Lonchura striata: one gene and its partner. The protein of the gene in region 1 interacts with the protein of each later gene in a pairwise test. Links are inferred from orthologs where the notes say so. Each region holds a gene or a part of one and is shown on either strand. Other genes may lie near its edges.

What was found.
Region 2: the proteins of NIPBL (region 1) and MAU2 interact in binary tests that used the Homo sapiens proteins (3 or more experiments, as listed by UniProt). The link is inferred for Lonchura striata from reciprocal best matches to the Homo sapiens genes NIPBL and MAU2.

What each region holds. Positions count from the first base shown.
Region 1 is NC_134642.1:37,526,040-37,540,960, reverse strand, and holds the start of NIPBL (nipped-B-like protein), read left to right. Parts: upstream 1-8,529; 5' UTR 8,530-8,660; intron 8,661-9,849; exon of another isoform or gene 9,850-10,130; intron 10,131-14,921. UniProt on the Homo sapiens protein: Plays an important role in the loading of the cohesin complex on to DNA. Forms a heterodimeric complex (also known as cohesin loading complex) with MAU2/SCC4 which mediates the loading of the cohesin complex onto chromatin.
Region 2 is NC_134630.1:7,624,164-7,639,546, reverse strand, and holds the start of MAU2 (MAU2 chromatid cohesion factor homolog), read right to left. Parts: upstream 6,411-15,383; coding exon 5,991-6,410; intron 5,754-5,990; coding exon 5,736-5,753; intron 5,489-5,735; coding exon 5,423-5,488; intron 4,529-5,422; coding exon 4,433-4,528; intron 3,462-4,432; coding exon 3,367-3,461; intron 1,915-3,366; coding exon 1,887-1,914; intron 341-1,886; coding exon 185-340; intron 1-184. Other genes in the region: SUGP1 (SURP and G-patch domain-containing protein 1), read left to right, coding at 6,738-6,762, 9,161-9,332, 10,500-10,603, 11,971-12,183. UniProt on the Homo sapiens protein: Plays an important role in the loading of the cohesin complex on to DNA. Forms a heterodimeric complex (also known as cohesin loading complex) with NIPBL/SCC2 which mediates the loading of the cohesin complex onto chromatin.

The DNA of each region.
Region 1 (14,921 bases):
TCAAAACCACACAGCATCAACAAATTTAGTGCTTACAGTGAGGGAAAAGGGGGGATGTTGTCTTCAAGAAGCCAAATTCATTTTTGTAAAGTATTTTATTCTGTATTATTTGTTAAAAGATTTCTTGTCTGCCTAGTTATTCTCCAGTATACTGTGGTAATATAGTATAGATGGAGAATCTACATATTTCAGATAAATATATGAGACATTGAGCTACTTTATAACCTGGGTCCCTCTGGCGTGCAACAGTGAAACAGCACCGGGAAGTGTGCTTTAATCGTTATTCCTTCTCTGGGCTTTTTTTTGTGGCTAAATAAGGATCTCAGTGCACCAGACTAGCAACTCAGAACCTTTCCTGAGCTCTACATTACCAAAAATAGCGTTTAATTAAAAAGTTGCTGTATGTTTTTGCAATCAAAAGCATATATGTGTTTTTGAAGTGTATATGCTGGAGAAAACCTACTGGATCAATAGTACTGTAAATTTTTTGCTTGGCACGTAAAGAGTTCTAAGAGCTTATCCTTAAAAATTCTGCAGGTGGAACCCCCCCATCCCCCACAAAATTCCTAGGGGCAATAGTTAAATATTATTCTACAGCTACCTAAGCATGTAGTTGTATTCCTATGGCCATGTTATTACAGGTCTATAACTTCCCAGAAATTACATAAGAAATTTTCTATTTCAGGCATTTTGACAGCAGTAAATAGCATTTTGAATGAAATTTTTGGTAACTGGACAGATTTTATCTATTACATGTGAAGAACACCAGCCATAAAGAAATCTCATATAGACATTTCTGAACTGCTTTTTGAAGAGTAAACTGGTAGAGGCCTGGTAATAAAATCTTCATTTAAATATACACAATTTTATTGTTGGGAGGGAAGATTATTAAAGGAGTGAGAAGGAGGAAGAAGGTGTAACTGCTAAAGTTAATCAGTTTGGTAGATCTTGAATGTTCAGCTGTTACACGGTTTTATACTAACTTCATAACACCATGACGACCACAGGAATGATATGTAACACAATGTCCATCGTAATGAAACAAAGCCTCACAGCCAGGCCATCAGACATGTATGTGACACTCCTTCCCCATAAGCCATGTTATATTTTTGAGTTAATCATCAACAGTAAAGAAATACCAAGGATTTTTCTCACTTTTGAAGTTCTAGATGGAATTTATGAAAATATATGAAAGCTAAGGAGACGATAAGGATATCATGACTAACTAAAATAAAACATACTTCCCAATAAAATTCAGATGGACTAGAAAAACTGCATTTACCTCTAAAAAACTAGTTTTTGAAACCAAAACAAACTCCCTAAACATCTGTCTATCACTAATTTTATATTATCAATTTTTCATTAAATTTAATTCTAAAGGAAAGCTCAGATATGGGTAACAAGTCTACTTGGCATGCCCCTAGGCTGGACAGTTAACTTCAGTACTTCCGAAGTTTATGAGGCAACATCCGAGTTTAGCAATCTGAAAAGTAATTTGCAGACAATAATAAACATAGCAGAACATTTACATTTTAAAATTAAAAAGAAAAATTGCACTAACTAGTCTAAATGAAGTTTGGTGTGAAAAAAAATTTTAAAAGGAATGATCAATTTTTGTGACAGTTTTCATGTAAGTACTTTTTGTGCTATCCTATAATTTAAACAGAAATTTATAGCATGGCTTTTGCAAATAATCTCTTTGACAGCAGATTATCCCTTATTTGATTGAACATTCTTCAGTCACAAATTCCTTTTCTATAGTATTAAAATGGAATACCCACCAAAGTCAGTTTTTCATTCACTTTCAACTCATAGTGCATTCTTCTTTGGGCATTTGACTATTCTGTAAACACAATTTAGAAGAAAAAAAATAAACCCAGTAAAAAAAACCTAACGATTCTTTAAGTGAAGCAGATAGAGATTCACATCATGGATTATTTTGCCAATGAAGAAAAATCAAAATAGGAAAATAATATAAAGACATTTATATGCTGCCTCTAACCTTTGGGAGCGAATAAGAAGGAAACAATCCAAAACATTAGGGAAAATACAACCTAATGGCAGAGAAAATATAAACATTGCCCAAGGAAATACAGGAGGAAAAAAGCACTTTAACCAGAGGAGAGTAGTCACTAGTGTAGCCTGGGATAAACAAAATACTTTCTTAAGTCTGGAAAAGAGGGGAAATAGCAATGGAAGGTATGAAAGTAACGAGTAAGTTTAGGAAAAAGTCTAGCGAATGAAAGTATATAGAGTATTTTGTGGTGCACATATTTTCCTGACAGGGAAATTCATATTTTGAAAGTTGCCAGGTTATTGTAATTTAAGGATCTATTTAGAAGGCAACTGTCTTTAAAATTGGTAGCGTATTCTTACTTAATTTGACTTGGTTAGTGCAGTGTCTCTGGTCAGAAAAAATAGATGGCTTCAGATGTTTTGATGAACTCTATTTATAAAGACTGTGTGTTCATTATTTTCCTCTGAAACCATGTGAATGTTTCACTCAAGGTCTCAGCTCCTTTTTGGTTGATAGTCATCTTGAATCTCACTTGCTCTGCTTTTCTTACAGCTACATTCCCAGGGTTTGCTCAGGCCTGTGTATGGGTATCTGTGGCTTCTCTGCATCTGTTTCTATGGCATTTTACATCTCTTTTTCTCACATATGCCTATCCCTCAAATATCCAACAAAACATGTGCCAGCCACTTGTGTCTTTGTTTTTGGTGGTGATGACATGCACCCATGTTCTTGTGGAATCTGGCTCTCTTTTTTTCAGAAAGTTAAACTACTTCTTACGGTGATTTTTGAAGAGCACTGCCTATGACAATTAGCTGTAATGCATTTTATCTAACAGCAAGTTTATGGATAACAGACCACGTTAACAAATTGAACCCAGCATGGAAAACATACTAGCAATAGCACAGGTATACAGATCACAGCTTCCTCAGGAGAGTCACTATTATTTTTCATATGAGTACTTGCACTGGAATGCAATCAACAGTGGAAAAAGTTGGTAAACCTACAAAATGTACAATAATAATTCAAAACTACAAATTAACAATGCTGTGTACACTAGTGGTCTTTCATTATCATCACAATTTTAAAATTATTTCCACTTACCTATAAGCTTTAAGCAAACTGCTTATGCTTAGTGTGTTATTTTTTCAAGTGTATACCTTTGAGGCAAAAATTTTCAATGGTGAATTCATCTTTTAATATATGAATTATGTTTAAGAAACCTGATGAAGTTGAACATGTATTTTCAACTAGTGGGAGGATAAATACAGAAATGTAAACATCAAAACCAGGAATTTAAATACATCATGACTGAGAAAAGGACATTTTCCATAAATAGATAATTTTGACGTGATTTTTAAGCTGTGTCATCCAGCCAGAGACATATATTTGCATTTAATTTGAGCTTCTCCATGTCAGCATCTCAATTTTCTGGACCATTTATTGTCCCTGTCAAAAGTTTAAACAAAAATTTTAAAAAGGTTTTGTGCTTCAGAATGCACAGTATTGCAAGTATGTGAGAAATTAAATAAGTGATAAATTTATACTGCTTTCTGGTTCGCTAATGGAGCACCCACACATCTTCTAAAGTCCTGACAAAGTAGATGCAGTGCTATTTGTCCCTGTGGCCATACTTAGAAGCAAATTTCCAGCACATGTCCAGCTACATTAAAAAAAAAAGATGAAAATAAAAGTTATAAATTGAATACTCAGCATTCAGAAAGTAACAGATTATGTTTTATTTATCCTTACTCATTTTCTTTTCTTATCTTAAAATCAATAAATTAGGCTTCAGAAGTCATTTTCATTACAAATTGATGCTGACAGCCTTAACTCAAAGAAGTGCAAAAGTTACTCATACTTATTTCATTTTATTGCACTATATTGCACAATCTCACTGTAACATCCTTTCATAAAGGCCACAGGATGTCTAAACTAAGAAGGACATCTGCTACAGGTTAGAAGTCTGGTTTAGACACTGTGTAGGACTTATTTTAAAATGTCTTCATATGAACAAATATCTCAACTGATAGCCAAATTTCAAACAACTTTCTTTTATCAGGTTACTGTATCAGATCATTAATTGCTTGACTAAATAAATAATTAGAAATGTGAATGTGATTTATCCCTAGATGGGGAGCTACAGTTTCTTCTTACCTTCCTTTTATCAAGTCACTTTGAAAATACTGCTTTAGGTGTGTCTATAAAATGCAACATAATTGGAACAGGCATGGACATTGGAAATAATCTGTCTAAAGATTGCACATTAAAGTATTTGAACAGACATTGGCACAGGCTCAAAGCATGCCAGCTTGCACTTTCCCAGAAAATTCCTGTGCACAATTTAGGCATTAGTATTAGTCACGAACCATTCTCAATGGGTAAAAAATACATGTGACTATCCTGGGTAAAACATGGAACATTATGTGGCTACAAGCTCCAATGCCAGAGAACAGTCCCAGGCATGTTTAACCTGATATTTATATGTAGCCATTTCATGCTTTGGCTGAGGATAATTAACACTTCTGAAAAATAGGAAAGTTCTCTCTTCCAAGGAAGCAGTTTTTAAAGGCCTGAGCCCAAGGCACTTCTTTTAACATACGCTATATAGATAAGCATATCTCTGTTTTAAATCTTCCTTTTCTGGCAGGTTCATTAAAAATGGAATGGCAAGGCATGTTGTGATATTCTCAATTTTTTTAATGCATACAAATATGATGTTTTGAATGCAGAGCTGAATATAACAGCCCTTAAGACCAATTTTAACTTCTGTCTTTTGCCAGAAGATGACTGTCCACATTTATTTGCTGGCCTGTGAAGTTCTGTATTTATTTAGTTTTACCTCTTAAAAAGTGTAGAAAGAAAAAAAAAAAAGCCTGAATATTTTTGTATTTCTCTCTTAAATTTTTCCATAGTGGGCCTCAACAACAGTCTTGTAGGAAATTGAACAGTATTTCTGATGTGGCTAACATGACAGTAAGTTGTCCTCCCAGTGCCTAGACAAACCAAGACAATTGAGAGAATAGAGTTATATAATGCTCAAATTATGAACAAAAAAAACAACCTCCCCTCCCAAAAAACCCCAAACAACAACAACAACAAAAAAAAAAAACCAAAAACTAACCAAACAAATAACAAAAGAAAAAAAATCCCAACCAAACCAAAAAACCACCACAAAAATTATAGGAAATCACAGCATGTATCAGGAATGATACCTGCTTCCTTTCTGAAGTCCAGCAATGGTGAGAAAAGGACCTAAAGAATATCATTGGCAATGTGCAACTGATCATGTATCTTCTCTAAAAAATCAGCTTCTGTTAGATCTGTTTTTATAGCCCTGATATAACAATTCTGGGACAATCTTGTCCAGCAGTCTATCATTGGTCTTTTTTCAATTATATAATTGAATATTTGCCTTATTGAATATATGAATAATTGAATATGTGTCTTATTATTACACATATTTTGTAGTCTAAATTACATGTTTTAATTTTCTTTATTTTAACTATATTCAGAATCCCTAGTACTTTGCATAATTAAGAGTTTACTTTAACATTCAAATGAAACTACCAGAATTTTGTCTTGTCATTTTTTCTTCATAGAAACATTATTGTACAATTTAACATATATGCCTGCCATAGAATTCATATTAAGTACAAACAGAAGCTCATTCTTAACATGGTAGAGATAACACAAGTTTGCCACTTAAAATGAAAATGTACATTTAATTTCATAGTAAATTCTTCTTAGTCAATTAAGCTAAATAATTAGAAGAAGGAAAAAATATTGCATCCATCTGGTTTACCAGGAAAAAGAAATAAAATTCAGTAGTCTCCATGAAGCTGTAAACTTAAGGAAGTAACCATACAAACATTTGACTCCTCAGGCTTCTTTGACTTTTTATTTAGCCTGTGCCACTGTCAGTTTCATATTTAGGTTGCTTACTTTCCACAGCGAATATTCCCATGTCAATTAGTTACATGGTGCTATTATTTGTTCCTGTGAACTAAAGGCAATGCAAAGAATATACCTTTGTATTAGTTGTCATACAGCATGCATTATGAAATTCTTCGTAATCATTGTGTAGTACAGCCTTAACACCAGATTCTTATAGAATTCTTAATAGAGTACTTCTAATAGTACTTCTATTAGTACTTCTTATAAAGTACTTAAATTTAGGATGACAGATAACAATTGCATTACTGTATTCAGATAACCAGCTACCACTTTTTATAGGAAAATTCTTTCCAGTTATTGAGAGAGTATATAAAATATACAGTTGTAATTTTAAAAAATACTTTATTGTTATGTCCTAATTATTTTAAATATCTACTTAGAAATACATATACTGTAATAAGGGTAATATACATACCTATGAATTACTAAGAGGTAAACAGAAAGCAGTGTTTGTGCATCACAACTTAAAGTAACAGGTAAACAACTTAAAATTACATGTATTTGAATGTTATACTGGCCCTTAAAGAGACAAAAATGATAAAAACCAATGCATTTTTCATTAATTCTACAGAAAAAAAAACAAAACAAAACGACAAAAAACCCCAACAAATTACAACAATAATATCTAAGGAAAATATTAGTTCCAGGTGTTTTATTTTACTCCAGTATTACATGCTGTACATAATTGATGAAGCTGAATAACAACATATAGCAGTCAGGGAAGTTAACATCAGAGTGAAGAGGGCAAAAGAGGTCCCTTCTTTATTATTTTCAGCAATACTATCTTTGCATTTATAAAGCTTATCTCAGTACACAGCAGCAGCAGTTGTAAACAGCAGCAAGAGACATACTTACAGCTTTCCATATGTTTTGTGAAAATGTTATGAGTAGTCTCTCCATGAAGATTTTTTAAATTCCTGCCTTTTGAATTAAAATTTACTTTGAAGAACAAAAAACTAATCTAAGAGTAACAGACTGGATAAATAGCTTAAATTTAGGGGAACTCAGTCATTTGTTTTGGGCAGAAGATGCATTTGCCCTTAACATCAAAGGGAGCAGGATTAGGTTCTAAAGCTTTACCCTGAAACTTGCAGTTAATTTTCTGGACTACATAGGTGTGGATTTGTCAGGGTAATTCAGAGAGCTCTGCCCTTCTCCATACTGCCACCAGTTTTGTTCATGCAGTGTATGCTCCTTAGTGTGCTACAGTCATGGTTGCATGGCTGCATAGCTCCTCCCATACAGATTAGGGCTATCCCCACCCCATGACTCAGGCCTGGAACACAAATAAGGTTTAAAGGCTTTTTGCAGTAGTTATCAGGTAATCTGAAATACTTGATTTATCACTTCACTGGTCATTTCAGGCATAATGACACGAACCCTGTGCATACTAAGGTGCTTTAGGAATGTAGTGAACATCCATTCTGCAATAGATTGTTGTGAGTGAGCTTTTGAAGCAGAATACAAGCAACTGCTTGTCTGAATGAAGACAAAGTATTCGATCTTTCATTTTAAAAAGCATAATAAAAATATTTAATTTCCTTAAGGAAAATAAATTCCTGATTTGCCCATGTGTGTTACACACCACCTTCTAGAAGAACTAATGGCTTAAATTAGTTGTTCTCTTGTGCAGGTAATACAGCATAGTACTCAAGTAAAATAGCCACTTCTACAAGATCTTTTAATTGAATGGTATTTTAAAAGCATTAAATGATCTAGTGATATTCTCACTGAAACCATAATCAAATAGGACTTGTGCCAGACCATAAAATCCAAAACATATTTGGTATTTGAAAATTAAAATTTCAATGTTCTGTATTTTATTTACATATTAATTCACGAACTAAGAAAAAAATAATTATTTGAATGGATTGCTAAAATCATGGAAAGACTACATCAACATGAATCGGTAACAATCACTCAGAAGTAGATCGAAATAGTATTCCTGAGCTTTGTAATTTTAGAATTACATTTTCCTGGAAATTCATAGATGTATAAGTACACATACATATGCTAGGTGAATTCCAGATAGGTAGCTCCTTAAATTATATTTTATTTCCAAGAGAATGTAAATAGTTTTCCCCTTGAGTTGCAGAGTTGCAATGTATTAAATTAAGTGCAAAGACATAAGGACACACTTTGTTTGCAAGACCAATTATTTACCTTTATTTCAAATTGCTAACTTCAAATTATAAATGCATAAACGATTTTAGGATCTTTTCTATTAACCTGGAACAAAGGTCTGTAATACATTTTTTTCAGAACCCAGTTTACTCTGTCTCTGTTAATACGTGTCATTGGAACAATAGTATTTCCACTACTGAATTACCGTGTTTTCCAGTGCCCTCTTCATTTCTGTGCTTTTAAGCAAAAACATACTTTAAGACAAACTTTGATTCACCCAAAATTACGAATTTTGTAGTAGTTTAAGCATAAGAGAGGCATTTGAAATCTGTATTAAAGACAGCACTATTCAAAAAATCCTAAGCATTGGAGAGATCAGGTGCACTGGTGTAAGATTTTATCCCTTTGTGCAAATAACATTCATCCAGCGCTGAAAGGGTGTGTTTATATGTCACAGGGTATTTACAGCTGTGTCCAGCTGATTCCTGAAGTCGACAGTCAAGGAGTTCTTCCTCTAGAAATGAAAGGAATTTTGTCCAAGTACTGAGCAGCAAATCGACATTAAGTGAGTACCAAAAGACACAGTTAATTCATGGGATGTAAATGCTTCTTCATTATTACCCTGTGCTATAATTATTCAGTTTTACCTGTACAGCGGGACATCAAAAAGTCTTTCAGACCAGGACATGCTCTGTCTCCAAACACTCCTTCACAACACAAAAAATATTTCCAGTAAATCTGGTGGTGGTGGAGCCTGAGCCTCCAGCGAAGGACATTTCACCTGATCAGTATTTTCCCCAGTGCTGGTCCAAAAAGTCCGTTTTTGAAAGTCACTCTCGTTCCCTATGTCCATCTGGAAATCCCTCGCCCCGGCAATGCTTTGAGCAGCGGGTCTTTGGTTCCTGCGGGGCGGCCTCTCACGTCCACAGAGAACGGGCATGAGCGGCGACAGTCACTCCAGCGAGTGTCCCACCTGCAGGGGCTGCCGCCCTTGAGGGTTCAGTTTAAGGGCTGTTTCCAGGTCTGCCTCCTGCGAGGCAGCCTTCGGCAGTCCTCCTCCTCGTCCTCTCCACCATGCTTAGGCAGGACAAAAAAAAACAACCAACCAACCACCACCACCAACAAAAAAACCCGAACAAACAAACAAAAAACACCAAAACGTATATTCTTTTTCCAAGAGAATCCCTTCTTCACAGTTCCTCAGAGCAGGTTTAAACGTAAGCTTCGGTCTCGTTCCGCGCACCAAAAGGCAGGGAGGAAGGGGAAAATAAAAAAAGAAAAAAAATAGAGAAGGTCGTGCAGCAACCGGAGGGGTGTGGAAGGGAGAGGAGCTACGGAGGGGAGACTGCCGGGAGAGGCGAGGCAAGGGAGCCCCTCCAGCTGCAGCGGCGGAAGCGGCGCTGGTGGAGCGAGGGAGCGATCGGGTGAGGAGGAGGCAGCGGAGGGAAGGGGGAGGTTGCTGGTGTTTGGCGCCGGTGGAGGGAGTCATTCCTGCCGCTGCACTTCCGGTCGGCATTTTGTTCTGAGAGGGAGCGAGAGAGACACACAGGATCCTTCCCCCTCCTCCTCGCCCTTCTCTCCCTCTGCCCCCCCGCTCGGTACCGACTCACCGTGCCCAGGCCGCCCCTCCCCGCCCTCCTGCGCTCGCACTCTCGGAGGGAGCGGCGGCGGCGGCGGCCCCTTGGCAGCGCTGCCCCTCGGCCACCCTCCGCTCTCCCCGGCTCGGAACCGGTTCGGCGCGGCGCGGCCCGGCCCGGCCCGTGTTGATGTTGTGAAGCAGGCTCGGGGGGAAGGGATTTGCCTCGGCCGCACACCCCCCGGCTCTACATGTTCGCTGCACTGAGGAGGAGACGGAAGAGGAGCCAGCCCCCCTCCCGGCCCGGATTATTGTTGTTATATTATCTCCCCTCCTCCTCCTGCTCCGCGGCGGCGGCGGCGGCCCAGCGGCGGCGGCGGCTCCTCTGAGGAGGGAGGGGGGCGGATTTCTCTCCCCCCCTCTTGGATTCTCGTTGGATTCAGACGCCGATTTGCTCAGGTAATCCCCCCTCCTTGTCTCCCCTTCCCCTCCCTGCCCTCTCCAGCAGCGGGCTGGGCCTCTCAGCCCAGCGGCCCAGCACTGCCGGGAGCAGAGGGGATTAGCTGCTATCCAGGGTAGAGGGGAGTAAGTGGCAACCGGAGGTGTTTATTTCGCAGCCCCCCCTTCCTTCTCGGTCGGGTTTGGCGGAGGTGGATGGTTCGTGCCGGGCTGCCGGAAGGCCCAGGCCCGGCGGAGGGCGCAGGCCCGCCGGCCAGCGCCTTTACTCCAGCTCGGGGATTAGAAAGGCGAAGCGGCTGCTCAGTGACAGGCCTCAACCCGAAAAGAGCAGCAGGAGGAGGAGGAGGAGGAAACAATGCAATTAGTCGCAAATGTGCATTGATCCTTTCCCATATTTACAACTTCACCTAGGGCAAGGAAGGAGGGTCCCAGCGCAGACAGCCCTTTGAAGTGGGACAGGAGTAAGTGGAGGCGTAGGGAAGGAGACAATGTAAATACTCAGGAACAAAAATGCCACTTGTCTTTGCTATCACCTTATTCTTCTAATCAAGTGTGATCTGAACATTCAAAAGTTTAAATGCTTTGTTTTTATAATCTGCAGACGTCTCATTTCTAAATAACGTTATTGATTAGTATGTTAATGACTTAGTATATTTATAGCATAAAATAGTGCTTGAAGGATATTGACACAACATTGGACACCTGCAGACCCAGGAAATACAGGTAGCCAAGCATATTGTATCAGGTACTCCACACAATTTTTGTGTCTGTGTCCTGTATACACTACAGGAATATATGTTAAAGGAAGGAATGCCATTTTCTGCTTCTAGTAAACAGAAAACAAGCAAGGGATCGTGTGTAAAATGCTGTGTTTATGACATTTAAGGGACCAGGGTGAAGATAAGATCTTAACCAAAGTACTTCAGAATCACATGTAAATTTATTTAAGTGCAATGTGAGGAATGCTTAAAAAGTGTCATCTTTTCTTGTCAGGCTATATCACTTTGAGATCCTGAGGCTGTTATTGGCTGTTTGTGTCTATGATGTTTGAATATGTAATTAGGCATAATTTTTACAGGTCAACTGTGTTTTGAAAATGACTGTTATTAGTCTCATGTCTTTATAAATAAATAGTAGCTGACGTGCAATAAAGTAAATCTAAGACTTGTAAGTGGTAGAGTTGTAAGTGTTGCTAAAAACTTAGGCACATTTAAACAAACACCCTGTGAACTAATAAAAATACTTCTACAGAAATTACATTGCTGCAAGAAATTTTAAGATACAAAGTTTCCATCCTTGTAGCGAGGAGTTTTGTTAGTGGCAATCGTTTATTGATACTAGATAATTTGTTAAATTTTCAGCAGGCTTTTTGGTTATTCAGGTAGATTTGCTGTTATAATATATGGTTACTATATCTAATAAAGTAACTTTCTGGGGCGTTGTGTTCAGAGACTTGTAAACGAAACTGCTACCGTGCCTCCCGCGTGCCCTGATACATGTTTAAAAGGGTGAAGTTAATATAGCTGTCACGTAGAAGGCGTGTTTTTAATGCTGTAAATCCGTGTAGTAGTCAGTAGCGTGTCCGTGATTTGTATTGGTCAGGGAGCAGTTTGAATTTTAAAAAGCCAGAAGATCCTGCTGAGCCCCAATCGCGGCCTCCCTTCCTCCCACTAATCTCCCATTCCTGTCTTTGTGCTGCCTGGTCCTGTTAGACACTGTTTGCAACAGGGCCTCAGGCCTACGTGCGTGGAGAGGAACCATTTACAGTTCGAAAAAGCAGCTTTTTATTTTTAAACTTTGTAAAATGCAGAGGGAGCCACTAGTCGTCTCTAACTGTCCCCACCTCGGTGTCTAACAGCAGAATTGCTGTTTGCTTTTGCCGTGTAGTGTACAGTGGACACCGAGTGTAACTCTGCTTCACAGGAAAGAAAGGACTGTGCAGAAGTAGTTGTAGTTCTTGGGTAGTTTTCATCATCAGGAAGCGACATTACAGCCCTAGCGTTTCTTGCGTCTATGTTTCAGGCAGCTGCCGTTCTAAGAAGAATGTGTTTGTTGAGCTAACAGTAGTGAACTTTTCTGACTGATTTTTCATTTAAGGAGGGTTGCTTTAAATATTCTCGATATGAGCAGGAAATGAGCTACTGTAGTTACACAGTTCCTGTCAAGTTTATCTTGCCAGGGCTGTGTGGTTGTGTTTACAGCACCCTTTTTTTTTTTTTTCCCTTTTTTTTTTTTTTTTTTTCAGAACGGATGCACTTTTCTGGAATGAAAAACACTTGTATTTTTTTCCCATTATATAAAGGAAAATATAAGATGTTGTCAATTTTAATTGTAATTCGTTTTTTGGGTTTGTTCTTATGAGCCATATGTGGTTAATCTGGAATTAGTTGCTTGATCACAGTTTATATAGTTTAACAGAAATATTTAAAATTGAAATATTTATAAGAGGACTTATTTTCCTTTTGAATTGCATGTTTTATCATATTTGAGAGTGTGTGTGTGCATATGTGGAGCAGGCCTGTAGCATTTTCATACTACTTTTCTCCTGATGTTAGGAGCTTCTGCTGGTTCTGGTGTTTATCATAGCAGCTAGCTGCTTAAAGACAATGTATTTATTTTATTGATGTTGTAGAAATACAAAACTAATTATTCTCAAGAGGCTAGTTGTAACTATTACTTTATCAAAAAGAGGAAAATGCTTATTTCTACATTTTATTTTGCACTTTTGCCTGCTTTGTGCATTTTGAGTTTACTTACTCTGCACAGGTTAGTTTTTTTCCTCTCAAATTTTTGAACATTTTACCTGAAGTTAGTCCAACACAAATCTCTTCCTGAAGTCTTTTACTGTTGATTCAAGCTGAAGCTGGTTTTTTACTTGTAAAAAATCAAGACACAGAAGCAGGCATACCAGTAAAATAATATATTTTTTTTAAATTTGCAGTGTTTAAATTTTGACTTAGAAGCAAGATGGATCAGAGAAGCAAAATTATATACCTAAGCCCTTTTGAACATCATTATTCTACATAAAAGCACAGGTACCCCATGAAACCTTATGCTTGGGACTCCATGTATATAAATGTTATTCTTGAAGAATCAAGGACATAGATAGTAATTTCCTTAGGACAGAAGAGTTTTGTTTGTGTTGTTGCATTAGTGTAATTATTAAGGTACTACAACTTTAATCCTAAGTGTTTCATATATATAGTCCTTTGCAATATAAATAAACTATATTTTGGAGCATACTAGGTGAAAAATATTACATTACAAAGTGTTGGACTAATTGTATTGCATTTATATTAATATTTCATAAAAATTGCACAAGGCATATGAAGTTTCTGGATAAATACTGTAACTAGAGAGAAAAAAAAAAACTTTTATCCTGAATATCTAGGCCTAGGAAAGAAATCAAGTCTTCAAATTCACAACTTTATGATTTCTAGAAATTATGTTAAAGGAGTGTGTAATATTCATGAATGTGTGTAATTTGGATAACAACCATGGGAATACTGAATCAGAAAAATATGAGTAGCAATAGCTTGAGAATTTGTTGAGTGTAGGTGTGAGGTGGGTCAGCTGGCATTAGGGTGGCTATTTAGTATCACAAAACACTAAAAGTATTTAACATTTGAATGTTAAAACGGCCATTTCAGTATCATACCACTTATTTTTTATCTTGTTTTTGATTTGCCTTTATTAGAAGTAGTTTGGGTTAGGTTAGCATCTGATTTTGAAACATCAGCAGTAATGAACAATCAGTTGCAGAGAAACCTGCAAGGAAATGCTTGAAATTGGTTATACCTGTGTATTTTTGCTAATAACTCTGTACAATAATGATCCCTTTTAATAATAAAAAAGGAAGTATTATTGAAATTAAGAAAACAAGTATTTAACAATTACAAAGTCCTTAATATAATTAATCTACATTTGTATTTTTATTTTCTTTCTATTATAAACATAATTCTTAGTTGCTGATCCTGACCCCCAAAAGGTGCAAAAGAAGTGCTTTATATTGACATGTATGACACCCCATGTGTAAGGAAATTGCGTTTGAGGAGATCGTGTAGCACCTGTCATTTGTGTTTCACTTCCTGTCCCTACTGCTAACCATGGAAAATCTCCCCATCAAAAGGGAGGGAAGAGAGCATTTTGGCCCAACTGTATGTGGAAACCAAAAAGGATTCCAGTCAGATTGAATGTGATTGTTGATACGTCTTTTAAGGTGATTACTTGGTCTACACAAATAACTTCAAAATAATGTAAATATCCAAGACCAGTTTTCATGTTGAAGTGATAAAAAATTCTAGAAAAGGTAATTTTATGGCCTTTAGAATTTGTATTGGTTTTAAGTGTAAGTAATCAGAGATCTCAGATTCTTTTTGTATTAGTAGAGAACTAAATTTTTAATTTTATTGCTGTGGTTTGATTTGAAGTGCTCTGGTTTTTGTAGCAGTGTATATGTGTAGACATGCAATGCATTTTAGTGGAACAGTGTCAGAAAGCTCTAGGCTGCAAAATAAGGGAGTCCTATAAAGAAACAGCGACTGAGGAGCTGGGCCTTTAACAGCACCACAGTATTCAACCCTACCCTTGCAGCCCAGCTCAGTGCCTCATCCAGTGCATGTGATATGCCAGCTAACCACGTTTATAACCTAGCTTATATACTTAACCATTCAGTGTGTAGCCTCTTGCCTTATTACCTGCTGTGTAAACCCCAGTCCTTCAGGAAGGCTGAAGTGTTTTCATATTTTAATTCATAGTTATCTCAAAACAAGGCACTTTTCAGACTTCAGA
Region 2 (15,383 bases), on another chromosome or scaffold:
AAAGATATAAATTGTATGTCTATTATATAAATTTATATAATTTTTACACAATTTACGTAAAAACATAAACGATATAAAAACCTAAGGGACGTCTCTCGACTACCGCGAGCCACGCCATTCGGAACGAAGCCAAGAGGAGCTCGCTTCCATGAAATCCCCCAATCCCGTGGGGCTGTTCCCGTACCTGCCCGGCGTCCAGGTAGTGCGTGACCTGCAGCACCAGGAAGAAGACCCGCAGCGATTCCTTCTGGATGGGGTTGCCCTGCCAGTTCTCCACGATCTGCCCGCACAGCGTCAGCAGCGGGTGCACCTCCTGCAGCTTCCGCTCCATCAGCAGCAGCTGCAGTGCCAGGGGAAAGCGGGAGAATCCCGAGGGAATGGCAGTGCCAGGGGAAAGCGGGAGAATCCCGAGGGAATGGCAGTGCCAGGGGAAAGCGGGAGAATCCCGAGGGAATGGCAGTGCCAGGGGAAAGCGGGAGAATCCCGAGGGAATGGCAGTGCCAGGGGAAACCGGGAGAATCCCGAGGGAATGGCAGTGCCAGGGGACACCGGGAGAATCCCGAGGGAATGGCAGTGCCAGGGGAAAGCAGGAGAATCCCGAGGGAATGGCAGTGCCAGGGGAAAGCGGGAGAATCCCGAGGGAATGGCAGTGCCAGGGGAAAGCGGGAGAATCCCGAGGGAATGGCAGTGCCAGGGGAAAGCGGGAGAATCCCGAGGGAATGGCAGTGCCAGGGGACAGCCGGGAGAATCCCGAGGGAATGGCAGTGCCAGGGGACACCGGGAGAATCCTGAGGGAATGGCAGTGCCAGGGGACAGCCGGGAGAATCCCGAGGGAATGGTAATCCCTCAGGAATGGCAATGCCGAGGGACAGCCGGGAGAATCCCGAGGGAATGGCAACGCCAGGGGAAACCGGGAGAATCCCGAGGGACAGCCGGGAGAATCCCGAGGGAATGGCAGTGCCAGGGGAAACCGGGAGAATCCCGAGGGAATGGCAGTGCCAGGGGACAGCCGGGAGAATCCCGAGGGAATGGCAGTGCCAGGGGACACCGGGAGAATCCCGAGGGACAGCCGGGAGAATCCCGAGGGAATGGTAATCCCTCAGGAATGGCAGTGCCAGGGGACAGCCGGGAGAATCCCGAGGGAATGGCAGTGCCAGGGGACAGCTGGGAGAATCCCGAGGGAATGGCAGTGCCAGGGGAAACCGGGAGAATCCCGAGGGAATGGTAATCCCTCAGGAATGGCAGTGCCAGGGGACAGCCGGGAGAATCCCGAGGGAATGGCAATGCCAGGGGAAACCGGGAGAATCCCGAGGGAATGGCAGTGCCAGGGGACAGCCGGGAGAATCCCGAGGGAATGGCAATCCCGAGGGACAGCCGGGAGAATCCCTCGGGAATGGTAATTCCAAGGGACAGCCGGGAGAATCCTTCGGGAATGGTAATTCCAAGGGAAAGCCGGGAGAATCCCTCAGGAACGGCAATCCCAAGGGAAAGCCGGGAGAATTCCCCAATTCCGGGATTCCCCAATTCCAGGGATTCTCCAATTCCATGGATTCCCCAATACCATGGATTCACCACTTCCATGGATTCCCCAATTCCATAGATTCCCCAATTTCAGGATTCCCCAATTCCAGGATTCTCCAATTCCATGGATTCTCCAGTTCCATAGATTCCCCAATTCCACGGATTCCCCAATTCCATAGATTCCCCAATTCTAGGATTCCCCAATTCAATGGATTCTCCAATTCCAGGATTCTCCAATTCCAGAAATTAGGATTGGAATATTCACCTGATTCCCACCCCTCTCTCCCCCCCCAAAAAAAAAAAAAATCCTCTGGAATTTGCAATTAAACAGGGAATAATTTATTTTAAAAAGATTTGCAACTCACCATCCCCTTGCTGAGCAGAAAGAGAGCTCTGGAATAAAGGAAAATAAAGTTAAATTCCAAAAGAAATTACTCCATCCACAGGAAAAAACAAACAAACAAACCAACAAACCACCAGGAAAAACAAATCTGCCTTTTTCTCCCACTAAAAACAGGGAAAAAGAGAATAAGGGCAGCTGATAGAGGAATTCCCAGGGAATTAGGGGAGGAAATTCCATAGAATTCAGGGAGGAAATCCCAGGAATTCAGGCGGGAAATCCCAGGGAATTCAGGCAGGAAACCCCAGGGGACTCCAAGAAGAAATCCCAGGGAATTCAGGGAGGAAATCCAGGCAGGGAATCCCAGGAAACTTGGGGATGAAATCCCAGGGAATTCAGGGATGGAATCCCAGGGAATTCAGGCGGGAAATCCCAGGGAATTCAGGGATGAAATCCCAGGAACTGAGGCGGGAAATCCCAGGGAATTCAGGGATGGAATCCCAGGAATTCAGGGATGAAATCCCAGGGAACTCAGGGATGAAATCCCAGGGAATTCAGGGATGAAATCCCAGGAATTGAGGCGGGAAATCCCAGGGAACTCAGGGATGAAATCCCAGGAATTGAGGCGGGAAATCCCAGGGAACTCAGGGATGGAATCCCAGGAATTGAGGCGGGAAATCCCAGGGAACTCAGGGATGGAATCCCAGAGAATTCAGGCAGGAAATCCCAGGGAATTCAGGGATGAAATCCCAGGGAATTCAGGCGGGAAATCCCAGGGAATTCAGACGGGAAATCCCAGGAAACTCAGGGATGAAATCCCAGGGAACTCAGGGATAAAATCCCAGGGAATTCAGGGATGGAATCCCAGGAAATTCAGGCGGGAAATCCCAGGGAACTCAGGGATGGAATCCCAGGGAATTCAGGGATGGAATCCCAGGGAACTCAGGGATGGAATCCCAGGGAATTCAGGGATGGAATCCCAGGGAACTCAGGGATGAAATCCCAGGGAACTCAGGGATAAAATCCCAGGGAACTCAGGGATGGAATCCCAGGAATTGAGGCGGGAAATCCCAGGGAATTCAGGGATAAAATCCCAGGGAATTCAGGGATGGAATCCCAGGAAATTCAGGCGGGAAATCCCAGGGAACTCAGGGATGGAATCCCAGGGAATTCAGGGATGGAATCCCAGGGAACTCAGGGATGAAATCCCAGGGAACTCAGGGATGGAATCCCAGGAATTGAGGCGGGAAATCCCAGGGAATTCAGGGATGAAATCCCAGGGAATTCAGGGATGGAATCCCAGGGAATTCAGGGATGGAATCCCAGGGAACTCAGGGATGAAATCCCAGGGAATTCAGGGATGGAATCCCAGGGAACTGAGGCAGGAAATCCCAGGGAACTCAGGGATGAAATCCCAGGGAATTCAGGGATGAAATCCCAGGGAATTCAGGGATGGAATCCCAGGAATTGAGGCGGGAATGCCGGGATCCCTCGGGAATTGTCACCTGGTGTACTCGGAGCCCACCACGCGCGCGTACTCGGCCCCCACGCCCAGCAGGTCACAGGCCGACACCAAATCCTTCTCCAGCGTGTGGAGTTGCTGAAACGGGAATAAAAACAGCCACAAAAACTCAGGGTTTGCTCCATGAATCCCAAGAAAACACCATTATCCCTGGATTTGCAAATTCCTGCTCCTTAAAGGGGTTTCACGCCCGTTTTCCAAAGACGTCTGTGGCGTTTCCAAGGATTTGTCTGAGCCCAGAAGGGTTTTTTTCGCCTTCAAATTCCTAATTAGTGAGAAATTGGTTAAAAATGGCAAAGGGTGAAAATCCAGTGTTGATCAGATCCCAACAGCTCCAAAAAACCCAGGGACTGTCACACTGGAGCAAGAGTTTTCCCAGCAAGAGGAGCCTCCGAGGTGTGCTCCCAAATTTGATCCCGTTCCCAACCCCAGGTGGGAATTCAGGAAGAGAACAAGCTCCAAGGAAATGGGAAAAATGGGAAACTCCAAGGAGAAGAAAAGCTTCGGAGTCCTCAGGATGAACTCCTGGAAAACTAAATATTCCTTAATCCAAAGGGAATTAAAGTTCTTTTTCCATAAATACGCTTCAGCGTGCCTCTATTCCTATAAATATTTTTTAATTTACAAGTATTTTGGAATGTATTCCAAATCAGGAACAAGAATTTTCCTTGGATTCTTTTCCTTGCTCCTTTTCCTGGTTACTTTTCCTACTCCTCCCATCCCACATTAGACATAAAACAACGCTCCCAACCCCAGCAGGATTTGCTCTCCCTGCAAACCCCAAAATGGATTTTCTCCCTCCATCCTTGGAATTCCAGGTCTCCGATTCCCACAGAGTGATCCTGGCCGATTCCTTGATCCAATCCAACACCAACTGCCTTTTCCCTCTCCACTAACGACAAATTTTTAGGAACTAAAGGGATAAAAAGCAGCCGTTTGCAGCAATGTTTTAGGGAACATCAGACTGCAAGGCTTCCAGGCTGCTCTGAAGGGGGATGCAGGATTTTTCCAGGGATTTTTCCCCAGGAATTGCTGCTGCAGGGACTCACGGCCAGCTGGAAGAGCAGCCTGCAGTGCCAGTAGGGAGTCTGCTGGGAGATCTGGATGGCTTTTCGCAGCAGGGGCTTGGCCGTGTCCACGGAATTCTGCAAGGCAAAGAGCCCCAGTCAGCACCCAGCAGCTGGGAATTCCCGGGAAAACCACGGGAATTCCCGGGAAAACCACGGGAATTCCCGGGAAAACCACGCCCGGAGGCGAGGCTGGGAGGGGTCAGAGTGCTGGAAAAAAAAAAGAAAATTAAAGTGGGAGAAGTTTGGGGCTGCTCCGTCCTTGGAATGGCCACGGCAGGGCGGGATGGGACTGGAGAAATCTGGGATTTGGGAGAACTGAAGAAATCTGATAGGAGAAATCTGGGATTTCGGGAGGACTGGAGAAATCTAGGATTTTGGGAAGATTGGAGAAATCTGGGATTTTGGGAAGATTGGAGAAATTTGGGATTTTGAGAGGATTGGAGAAATCTGACAGGAGAAATCTGGGTTTTGGGAGGACTGAAGAAATCTGGGATTTTGGGAAGATTGGAGAAACCTGTGATTTTGGGAGGCCTGGAAAAATCTGGGATTTTGGGAAGATTGGAGAAATCTGTGATTTTGGGAAGATTGGAGATATCTGGGGTTTTGGAGGTTTGGAGAAATCTGGGATTTTGGGAGGTGTCCCTGCACGTGGCAGGGTGGGATTGGATGGGATTTAAGGTCTTTCCAATCCAAACCATTCCAGGATATTCAAAATCCTGAGGGAAATTATGGATTTCCCTCCCTCTCCCCTGCCCGTAAAATTAACATTCGTTTAATAAGGACCCAAAGATTTATTTGGCCAAGCAAAATCCTCTTGCAGTGGGAAACTCTTGCTGCAATTCCAGCAGGAACTCCCTCAGTAAGGAAGGAAAAAAGCCTCTCGTGGCAGAAATGGGATTTTTTCATGGGATTACCCCGTTCCAAGCCCAAATCCGAGGGGCACAGAGGGGTTTTGGGGGGTTCTCTCACCTCCTGGCAGTAGAGCTCCGACAGCAAACTGGCTGCCTCGAACTTCACATCTTCAAACTGGGGGATCTGGCACCAGGGTTAAGGGAAACACAAAATCTGGGTGGGAAAGAGCAGCAAAGCCTCCAAAACCCCTCAGGAAAATGGGGGTGAGAGGGGATTTAAGGTCCCTTCCAACCCAAACCCTGCGGTTCTGTGAAAGCACATTAAAACCACCCATCCCATGCCCCCGTCCCCAGGCCCTTGAGGTGTTCTGGGGGTTTCCTTGGAGCTGTTCCAAGCACGGAGCTTTTCCTGGATCCCGGGAAAAGGATACCTGCTGGGATATCAGCCACTGCAAGAGAACACAGCGGGTTAGGCTGGCACGAACCCCCCCAGCACCGCCTGGCACCCTCCTGCTCCGTGCCCGGAGCCTCCCACCGCCGCCTGCCCTGCTCCTCATCTTCCCCCGCCGCCAGCACCTCTCAGCCGCCCCTCCCGCCTCTCCTCACCTTCTCCAAGAGCCGGAGCCCCGCGCCCACCGCCCCCAGCCGCTGCCCGGTGCCCCCGAGGCCGCCCCAGCGCCGCTCACCGCCTTCTCCAGGTGCCCGCGGGCCTGGTCGCCGTTGCGGGTGTGGTGGTAGAGGACGGAGCCGAGCTGGAGGTGCGTGCGGGCCTCCATGCGGGCCGGGGGCTTGCGGGGCAGCACGGCCTGCAGGCAGTGCACGCACAGCCGCACCTTGGGCGGGCTGGACGTGCGGAAATGCTCGGCCAGGCCCAGCAGCGCCAGGTACCACGACTCGCCCGCGGCCGCGCCGCCGCCCGACCCCGAGCCCGCCGCAGGCCCCGCCGCGCCGCCGCCGCCTCCGGCAGCTCCGCCGCCGCCTCCCGCGCCGCCCGCCGCTCCCGCCGCCTCCCCGGAGCCGCTCCCGCCGCCTCCCGCCGGCTGCGGCGGCTGCTGAGGCGGCGGCGGCTGCTGAGGGGCCGCCGCGCCCGCCGCCACCGCCGCCATCTTGGGGCCGCCGACAACACCGCCGCGGGGCGCGGGGCACGACGGGACTTGGAGTCCGAACGCCGCCGGCGCGGAGGGGCGGTGGGAGTTGTAGTCTGCCCTCCCGCACCGACGGAACGCGGGGCGAACCGGGGAACGAGCGTAGCGGCGGAGCCGCCAGAGCGGGGCGGTTCGGCCGCCCCTCCAGCGGGGCTCGGCGCGGCGGGAGGAGCGGGGAGAGCGGCGCGGTGGCTCCCTGAGGGACTACATCTCCCAGGGGCGCCGGCGCTGGCGCGGCCCCCGGCGCGGCGCGCCCGGCGCGGGGCACGCTGGGACGGGGGCTCCAAAATGGACAACCAGCGGGATGCGCCAGGTACGGCCCGGCCGGGCGGCCCCCGCCGCTCCCGCCGCTCCCGCCGCTCCTCCCGCCCCGCCGCCGCCCCCGCCTCGCCCCGCCGCCCCCGGGGCTCCGGGACGCGGGGGTGGCGTGTGCGCCCGGGCTGGGGGTGTGCCGGCAGGGTCGGGGGCTGCGAGAAGCCGCCCCGTTAAATCCCCTCCTTTTCCCCCTCCTCGTTCCGGGACGGATCCCCGCCGCCGTTCCCGGCTCGTTTTCCCCTAGGGAAGCCGGGCTGCTGGTTCGGGATGGCTGCTCTGTTAATTCCCCCCGTTCTCCCTCAGGAAAACCGAGCCTGGGGTCCGGGGTGGTCTCCCCGTTATTTTTCCTCTCTTTTTCCCCCAGGGAAGCAGAGCCGATAGCTCGGGGAGGCTCCACGGATGATTTTTCCTCCCCTTTTCCCACAGGAGCCCCAGCTGTTCGTTCCCTCTCTTTTCCCGTAGGAAAGCTGAGCTGGTGGTTCGTGGAGACCCCGCTGCTGATTTTTTTTCTCTTTTTATTTTGTAGCGAAGCTGAGTTTGGGATGATCCCTCCGTTTATTCCTTCCCTTTTCCCACAGGGAGAGCAAGCCTTGTTTTGGGATGATGCCTGTGTTAATCTCCTCTCTTTTCCCACAGGGAATGCGACCCTTGATTCAGGATGGTTCCTGTTAAATTCCAGCTTTTTCCCTCAGGAAAGATGCCCCTAATTTCGGGATGGTCCCTGTTCTTTCCCCCTTTTTTCCACAGGGAAGACCAGCCTTGGTTTGGGATGGTCTCTCCCTTAATTCCTGAGGGAAGCTGAATTCAGGGTGGCTCCTACTCTAATCCTGCCTTTTTCCCACAGGGAATGTGAGCTTGATCTGGAGTGATCCCTATTAAATCCCACTCTTTTCCCTCAGGGAATGCGCCCCTGGATTTGGGGTGATCCCTGTTCAATCCCAGCCTTTTCCCTCAGGGAAGGCACCCCTCATTCACAATTCTGGAGTTAATTCCGAGACAATTCCCAGACTAATTCCCGCTTTTTCCCTCAGGGAATGCGTCCCTTATTCCAGACAATTCCCGAGCTGATTCCCGCCATTTTCCCTCAGGGAATGCGCCCCTCATTCCAGACAATTCCCAAGTTAATTCCTGCCCTTTTCCCTCAGGGAATGTGTCCCTCATTCTGGACTATTCCCAAGCTGATTCCCGCCCTTTTCCCTCAGGGAAAGCACCCCTGATTCCGGACAATTCCCGCACTGATTCCCGCCCTGTTCCCATAGGGAATGCGCCCCTCATTCCAGCCAATTCCCGTGCTGATTCCCGCCCTGTTCCCATAGGGAATCCACCCCTGATTCCAGGCAATTCCCGTGCTGATTCCCGCCCTGTTCCCATAGGGAATGCACCCCTGATTCCGGGCAATTCCCGTGCTGATTCCCGCCCTGTTCCCATAGGGAATCCACCCCTGATTCCAGGCAATTCCCAGGCTGATTCCCGCCCTGTTCCCATAGGGAATGCACCCCTGATTCCAGCCAATTCCCAGGCTGATTCCCGCCCTGTTCCCCCAGGGAATCCACCCCTGATTCCAGGCAATTCCCAGGCTGATTCCCACCCTGTTCCCATAGGGAATCCACCCCTGATTCCAGCCAATTCCCGCGCTGATTCCCGCCCTGTTCCCATAGGGAATGCACCCCTGATTCCAGCCAATTCCCAGGCTGATTCCCGCCCTGTTCCCCCAGGGAATCCACCCCTGATTCCAGGCAATTCCTGCGCTGATTCCCACCCTGTTCCCATAGGGAATGCGCCCCTGATTCCAGGCAATTCCCAGGCTGATTCCCGCCCTGTTCCCCCAGGGAATGCGCCCCTGATTCCAGGCAATTCCCAGGCTGATTCCCGCCCTGTTCCCCCAGGGAATCCACCCCTGATTCCAGGCAATTCCCAGGCTGATTCCCGCCCTGTTCCCATAGGGAATGCGCTCCTGATTCCAGCCAATTCCCAGGCTGATTCCTGCCCTGTTCCCATAGAGAATGCACCCCTGATTCCAGGCAATTCCCAGGCTGATTCCCGCCCTGTTCCCATAGGGAATCCACCCCTGATTCCTGGCAATTCCCAGGCTGATTCCCGCTCTGTTCCCCCAGGGAATCCACCCCTGATTCCAGCCAATTCCCGCGCTGATTCTCACCCTGTTCCCCCAGGGAATGCACCCCTGATTCCGGGCAATTCCCAGGCTGATTCCCGCCCTGTTCCCATAGGGAATGCACCCCTGATTCCAGCCAATTCCCAGGCTGATTCCCGCCCTGTTCCCCCAGGGAATCCACCCCTGATTCCAGGCAATTCCCAGGCTGATTCCCGCCCTGTTCCCCCAGGGAATGCACCCCTGATTCCAGGCAATTCCCGCGCTGATTCCGCCCTTTCCGCAGGGAAGGCGAGCCGGTGGTTCGGCGTGGCGCAGTCCAGGGCGGCCAAGGCCAGCGTGAACATCCTGCAGCAGGAGGAGCTGATCGCCCAGAAGAAGCGCGAGATCGAGGCGCGGCTGGAGCAGCAGGCGCGGCAGAATTCCCTCAGCATCCCGCAGCTCCCGCTGCTCGGAGAGTGCGTGGGAATCCCGGGAACAAATCATCCCGGGAACGAATCCCGGGAACGCCGGCCTCCTGCCTGCCGCCGCTGGGAAGGGAGCCGAGGGAGGAAATCCCGCTTTTGGCAGAGCAGAGGGAGGAAAATCCCGATTTTAATGGAGTAGAGGGAGGAAAATCCCGATTTTAATGGAGCTGAGGGAGGAAAATCCCGATTTTAATGGAGCTGAGGGAGGAAAATCCCAATTTTAATGGAGCAGAGGAGGTTTTGGTGGATTGAGGAGCAAGAATCCCAGTTTCAATGGAGCACGGGGGAGAATCCCAGTTTTAATGGAGCACGGGGGGGAAATCCCAGTTTTAGTGGAGCAGAGTGGGGAAAACCCCAGTTTTAATGGAACAGGAGGAGGTTTTGGTGGATCAGGGAGCAAGAATCCCAGTTTCAATGGAGCAGAGGGAGCGAGATCACAGTTCTAGTGGAGCTGAGGGTGGAAGACCCAATTTTAATGGAGCAGGAGGAGGTTTTGGTGGATTAGGGAGCAAGATTCCCAGTTTTAATGGAGCACGGGGGGGGAATCCCAGTTTTGGTGGAGCAGAGGGAAGAAAATCCCAATTTTAATGGAGCAGGAGGAGGTTTTGGTGGATCAGGGAGCAAGAATCCCAGTTTCAATGGAGCACGGGGATGAAATCCCAGTTTTAATGAAGCTGAGGGAGGAAAATCTCAATTTTAATGGAGCAGAAGGAGGAAAATTACGATTTTGGTGGATTGGGGAGCAAGAATACCAGTTTTGGTGCAGCAAGGGGAGGAAAATTCCAGTTTTGGTGGAGAAGAGGGGGAAAAAATCACAGTTTGGGTGGATTAAGGAGCAAAAATCCCAATTTTAGTGGAGCGGTGAGGGGGAAATTCCAGTTTTGGTGGAGCAGAGGGAGGAAAACCCAATTTTAATGGAGCAGAAGGAGGAAAATTACGTTTTTGGTGGACTAGGGAGCAAGAATCCCATTTTTAGTGGAACAGGGTGGGGAAAATCCCAATTTTAATGAAAGAGGAAGAAGATCTGGGGTTCTTTATGTAGTACGGTGGTAGGTGAGGAAAATGACCAATTCCAGGGGTTTTTCCTGTCCCAAATCCCACATGGGAAGGGCAGGGAAGCTCCCAAATTCCAGCCTCTGTTTTTCTGTCCCCGCTCAGTGACGACGGCTCCGAGAGCGAGGCCTCCGTGTCCAACAAGTTCGTGAACGATGGGAGCTTCCTGCAGCAATTCCTGAAGCTCCAGAGGGAAAAATCCAATGCTGGTAGGTCCTTCCTTTCCCAGCCCAATCCTGGGATTCCCGGGAATTCTGTCCCCGTCATTCTGCCCTCACAAACTGCCCCAAATCCCCCAAACATTCTGAGAATGCCCCAGCTCCAAACCTGGGGAGGAAGCGGCCGGGGCAGACCTGGAGCCTCTCCCAGCCCAACCCAGGATTCCCAGGAATAATTTCCTTTCCGTCTCACTTCAGAAAATGCCCCAAATCCCCCCAGCCCCAAACCCCGGGAAGAATCCAATAATAATTTCCTCATTTCCCCCAGAGAATGCCCCCGGCAGCTCCCTGGCCCTGATCCCCAGGAAGGATCCAATAATAATTTCCTTTATTTCCCACAGAAAGTGCCCCGAATCCCCCCGGCAGTGCCCCATCCCCAATCCCCGGGAAGGATCCAATAATAATTTCCTTTATTTCCCACAGAAAGTGCCCCGAATCCCCCCGGCAGCACCCCATCCCTGATCCCCAGGAAGGATCCAATAATAATTTCCTCATTTCCCCCAGAGAATGCCCCAAATCCCCCCAGCCCCAAACCCCGGGAAGGATCCAATAATAATTTCCTCATTTCCCACAGAAAGTGCCCCGAATCCCCCCGGCAGCGCCCCATCCCCGATCCCCGGGAAGGATCCAATAATAATTTCCTTGTTTTCCCCCAGAGAATGCCCCGAACGCCCCCATCCCCAAACCCCGGGAAGGATCCAATAATAATTTCCTCATTTCCCCACAGAAAGTGCCCCGAATCCCCCCGGCAGCGCCCCATCCCCGATCCCCAGGAAGGATCCAATAATAATTTCCTCATTTCCCCCAGAGAATGCCCCGAATCCCCCCATCCCTGATCCCCAGGAAGGATCCAATAATAATTTCCTTTATTTCCCCACAGAAAGTGCCCCGAATTCCCCCGGCAGCACCCCATCTCCAGTCCCCGGGAAGGATCCAATAATAATTTCCTCGTTTCCCCACAGAAAGTGCCCCGAATCCCCCCGGCAGCGCCCCATCCCCAATCCCCAGGAAGGATCCAATAATAATTTCCTCATTTCCCACAGAAAGTGCCCCGAATCCCCCCGGCAGCGCCCCATCCCCAATCCCCAGGAAGGATCCAATAATAATTTCCTCATTTCCCTCAGAGAACACCCCGAATCCCCCCGGCAGCGCCCCGGCCCCGATCCCCAGGAAGGATCCAATAATAATTTCCTCATTTCCCACAGAGAATGCCCCAAATCCCCCCATCCCCGGGCCCCGGGAAGGATCCAATAATAATTTCCTTTATTTCCCCCAGAGAACGCCCCGAATCCCCCCGGCAGCGCCCCATCCCTGATCCCCAGGAAGGATCCAATAATAATTTCCTTTATTTCCCACAGAAAGCACCCCGAATCCCCCCGGCAGCGCCCCATCCCCGGGCCCCGGGAAGCGGCCGGCGCTGCTGAAGCGGCCGGCGCCGGCGCGGAGCCGCGTGCTGCAGGCGCGGAGCCTCGCCCTGCCCAAGGCCGGCCCCGGCCTCCGCCGCCTCAGCGTCTTCCAGGGCCCCGACGAGGACAACGAGGACGACGAGGAGCAGTGGCTGGAGATCAAAGGTCAGCGGCGGCTCCTGCCCGCGCCTGGAGCGGGAACGTGGGCAGGAATCCCGGGAGGAGTGGGGATTTGGGATAAGAGATCCGTTTGGAACAGGATTCCATGGGAGGAGTGGGGGTTTGGGATAAGGGACCCGTTTGGGACAGGATTCCCTGGGAGGAGTGGGGGTTTGGGACAGGGATCCGTTTGGGACAGGATTCCCTGGGAGGAGTGGGGATCTGAGATAAGGGTTCATTTGGGATACGATTCCCTGGGAGGAGTGGGGGTTTGGGACAGGGATCCGTTTGGGATAGGATTCCCTGGGAGGAGTGGGGATCTGAGATAAGGGACCCGTTTGGGACAGGATTCCCTGGGAGGAGTGGGGGTTTGGGACAGGGATCCGTTTGGGATAGGATTCCATGGGAGGAGTGGGGATCTGAGATAAGGGACCCATTTGGGATAGGATTCCATGGGAGGAGTGGGGATCTGGGATAAGGGATCCGTTTGGAACAGGATTCCCTGGGAGGAGTGGGAGTTTGGGATAAGGGTTCATTTGGGACAGGATTCCCTGGGAGGAGTGGGGATCTGAGATAAGGAATCTGTTTGGGACAGGATTCCCCAGGAGGAGTGGGGGTTTGGGATAAGGGTTCATTTTGGATAGGATTCCATGGGAGGAGTGGGGATCTGGGATAAGGGATCCGTTTGGGACAGGATTCCCCGGGAGGAGTGGGGATCTGGGATAAGGGATCCATTTGGGACAGGATTCCCTCAGTCCTAGTGGGAAGTTGGCTGGATTTATGCTAGGATAAGGGACAGGGCAGGGCAGGATTCCCTCCCGGAATAGGGCTTGATTTGGGACAGGATTTGGGGTGGTTTTATCCCAGGACAGGGCTCGATTTGGGACAGGATTTGGGGTGGTTTTATCCCAGGACAGGGCTCAGTTTGGGACAGGATTTGGGGTGGTTTTATCCCAGGGCTCAGTTTGGGACAGGATTTGGGGTGGTTTTATCCCAGGACAGGGCTCAGTTTGGGACAGGATTTGAGGTGGTTTTATCCCAGGATAGGCTCAGTTTGGGACAGGATTTGGGGTGGTTTTATCCCAGGACAGGGCTCAGTTTGGGACAGGATTTGGGGTGGTTTTATCCCGGGATAGGCTCAGTTTGGGACAGGATTTGGGGTGGTTTTATCCCGGGATAGGCTCAGTTTGGGACAGGATTTGGGGTGGTTTTATCCCGGGATAGGCTCAGTTTGGGACAGGATTTGGGGTGGTTTTATCCCGGGATAGGCTCAGTTTGGACAGGATTCCCTCAGCCCCATTGGAAAGCTGGTTACTTTATCCCTATTTACCATAAATGTGTATTCCCAGCACAGTTTTGGGGCAGATTTCTCCTTTATGGAGTGAAAATTCCAGCAATTAATGCTGGTGGGCTCTTCCAATTCCAACTGAAATCTAAGGGATGAAATTCCTGACGTTTTAGATATGAAATTCCCAATATTTGACTTATTGAATTCCTGATATTTTAGATATTCCTGACCTTCCTTGAGTTCAGTGTTTAAACATTACTGATCTCAGCCTGGAAAGTTTTTTGTCTTCAAATTGTCTGAGAGCTTAGCCAGGCAAAAATATCAGAAAACAACAGATAGGAGAAAATGTGTATTGATGGATTTGGTGGGTGGCAAATCCCAAAAATTCCATTTGCACCTTTGGAATGTTGTGCTGGGCTCTCCAAGAAATCCTTATTCTTGTCCTTAAAATGGGATTTTGGGGGGTTTAAGTGCTGGAAAAGGAGGAATTAGTTTGGGAACATGCAGGGCAAATCCATGCGTGCGAATAAATAAAACAAACGACACATCCAGCACGGAGCTGTTCCCAGGTAAAATCCAAAATCCAGGTAAAAAAAATCTCACCTGTAGGTCCTGAACGCCTGGAAAAACAAGGAGTGGCAGGAATTATCCCGGGTTTTATTGGGATAATCCAGGGCAGGAAGCCCCGAGGCAGATTTGCCTTAGAATGGGAATTTCACGGGTGGGTTTTAATGGATAAAAGGAGCTCGGCTTTGTGGCTGCCTTTATCCATGCCCAGAATCCCACAGAACCCTTTCTGCTGGGATTTGTACCAGCACAGGCCTGGGAATTCGGGAACTGAGCGTGAAACGTGCTGGGAACCTGCAGAGAGCTGCGCTGGCTTTGCCGTAATTGCAGATTCTGGGGCTGATTCCCAAAATTCCCAAAATCTCCGGGTTTATTCCCACTCCGTGATCCCTGTAGGAACTCCTGGGCACAGAAACCAAACTCTGCCTTCCCAAAATTCCCAAAATCTCCGGGTTTATTCCCACCCTGGGCACGGAAACCAAACTCTGCCTTCCCAAAATTCCCAAAATCTCCGGGTTTATTCCCACCCTGGGCACGGAAACCAAACTCTGCCTTCCCAAAATTCCCAAAATCTCCGGGTTTATTCCCACCCTGGGCACAGAAACCAAACTCTGCCTTCCCAAAATTCCCAAAATCTCCGGGTTTATTCCCACTCCATGATCCCCGTGAGAATTCCTGGGCACAGAATCCAAACTCCAAGGGGTTTTTTTTTTGGAGCAGGAAAAGCTGCTGCTCCGGCCACACAGGCTGGAATGTTCTGGGAATGGCTTGGCAGCTGGAATATGGATTAAGCCAAATTCCTGCTCTTTCCCTGCTGGGATTTTTAGGGAACAAATCCAGCAGGAGCCAACTGTGCTAAAGCTGGGATGAGCTGGGCACAGTTGAAACCTCCAAACTGGGATGGGGTGGTGGATTCCCAATCCCTGGAATGCCCAAGGAAAGTGGGAGAAGGGAAGGCTCCAGGAAAACCTTGGAGCTGCTTCCAGATCCTAAAGGGGCTCCGGGAGAGCTGGAGAGGGATTTGGGACAAGGGATGGAGGGACAGACACAGGGAATGGATTTAAACAGAAAAAGGGGGATTTGGCTGGGATTTTGGGAAGGAATTCCTGGCTGGAATGGGCTGGAATTCCCAGAGAAGCTGTGGCTATCCCTGGGAGCTGGAGAAGGGAAATTCCAGGCAGAGCTCTGGGCCTGAAAGGCCTCCGGGAGAGCTGCAGAGAATTTGGGATAAGGGATGGAATTCCAGGAGCCAGGGAGTGGCTTCAGACTGAGGGAGGGTGGATTTAGGTGGGATTTTGGAGCTGCAGAGAATCTGGGATAAGGGGTGGAATTCCAGGAGCCAGGGAGTGGC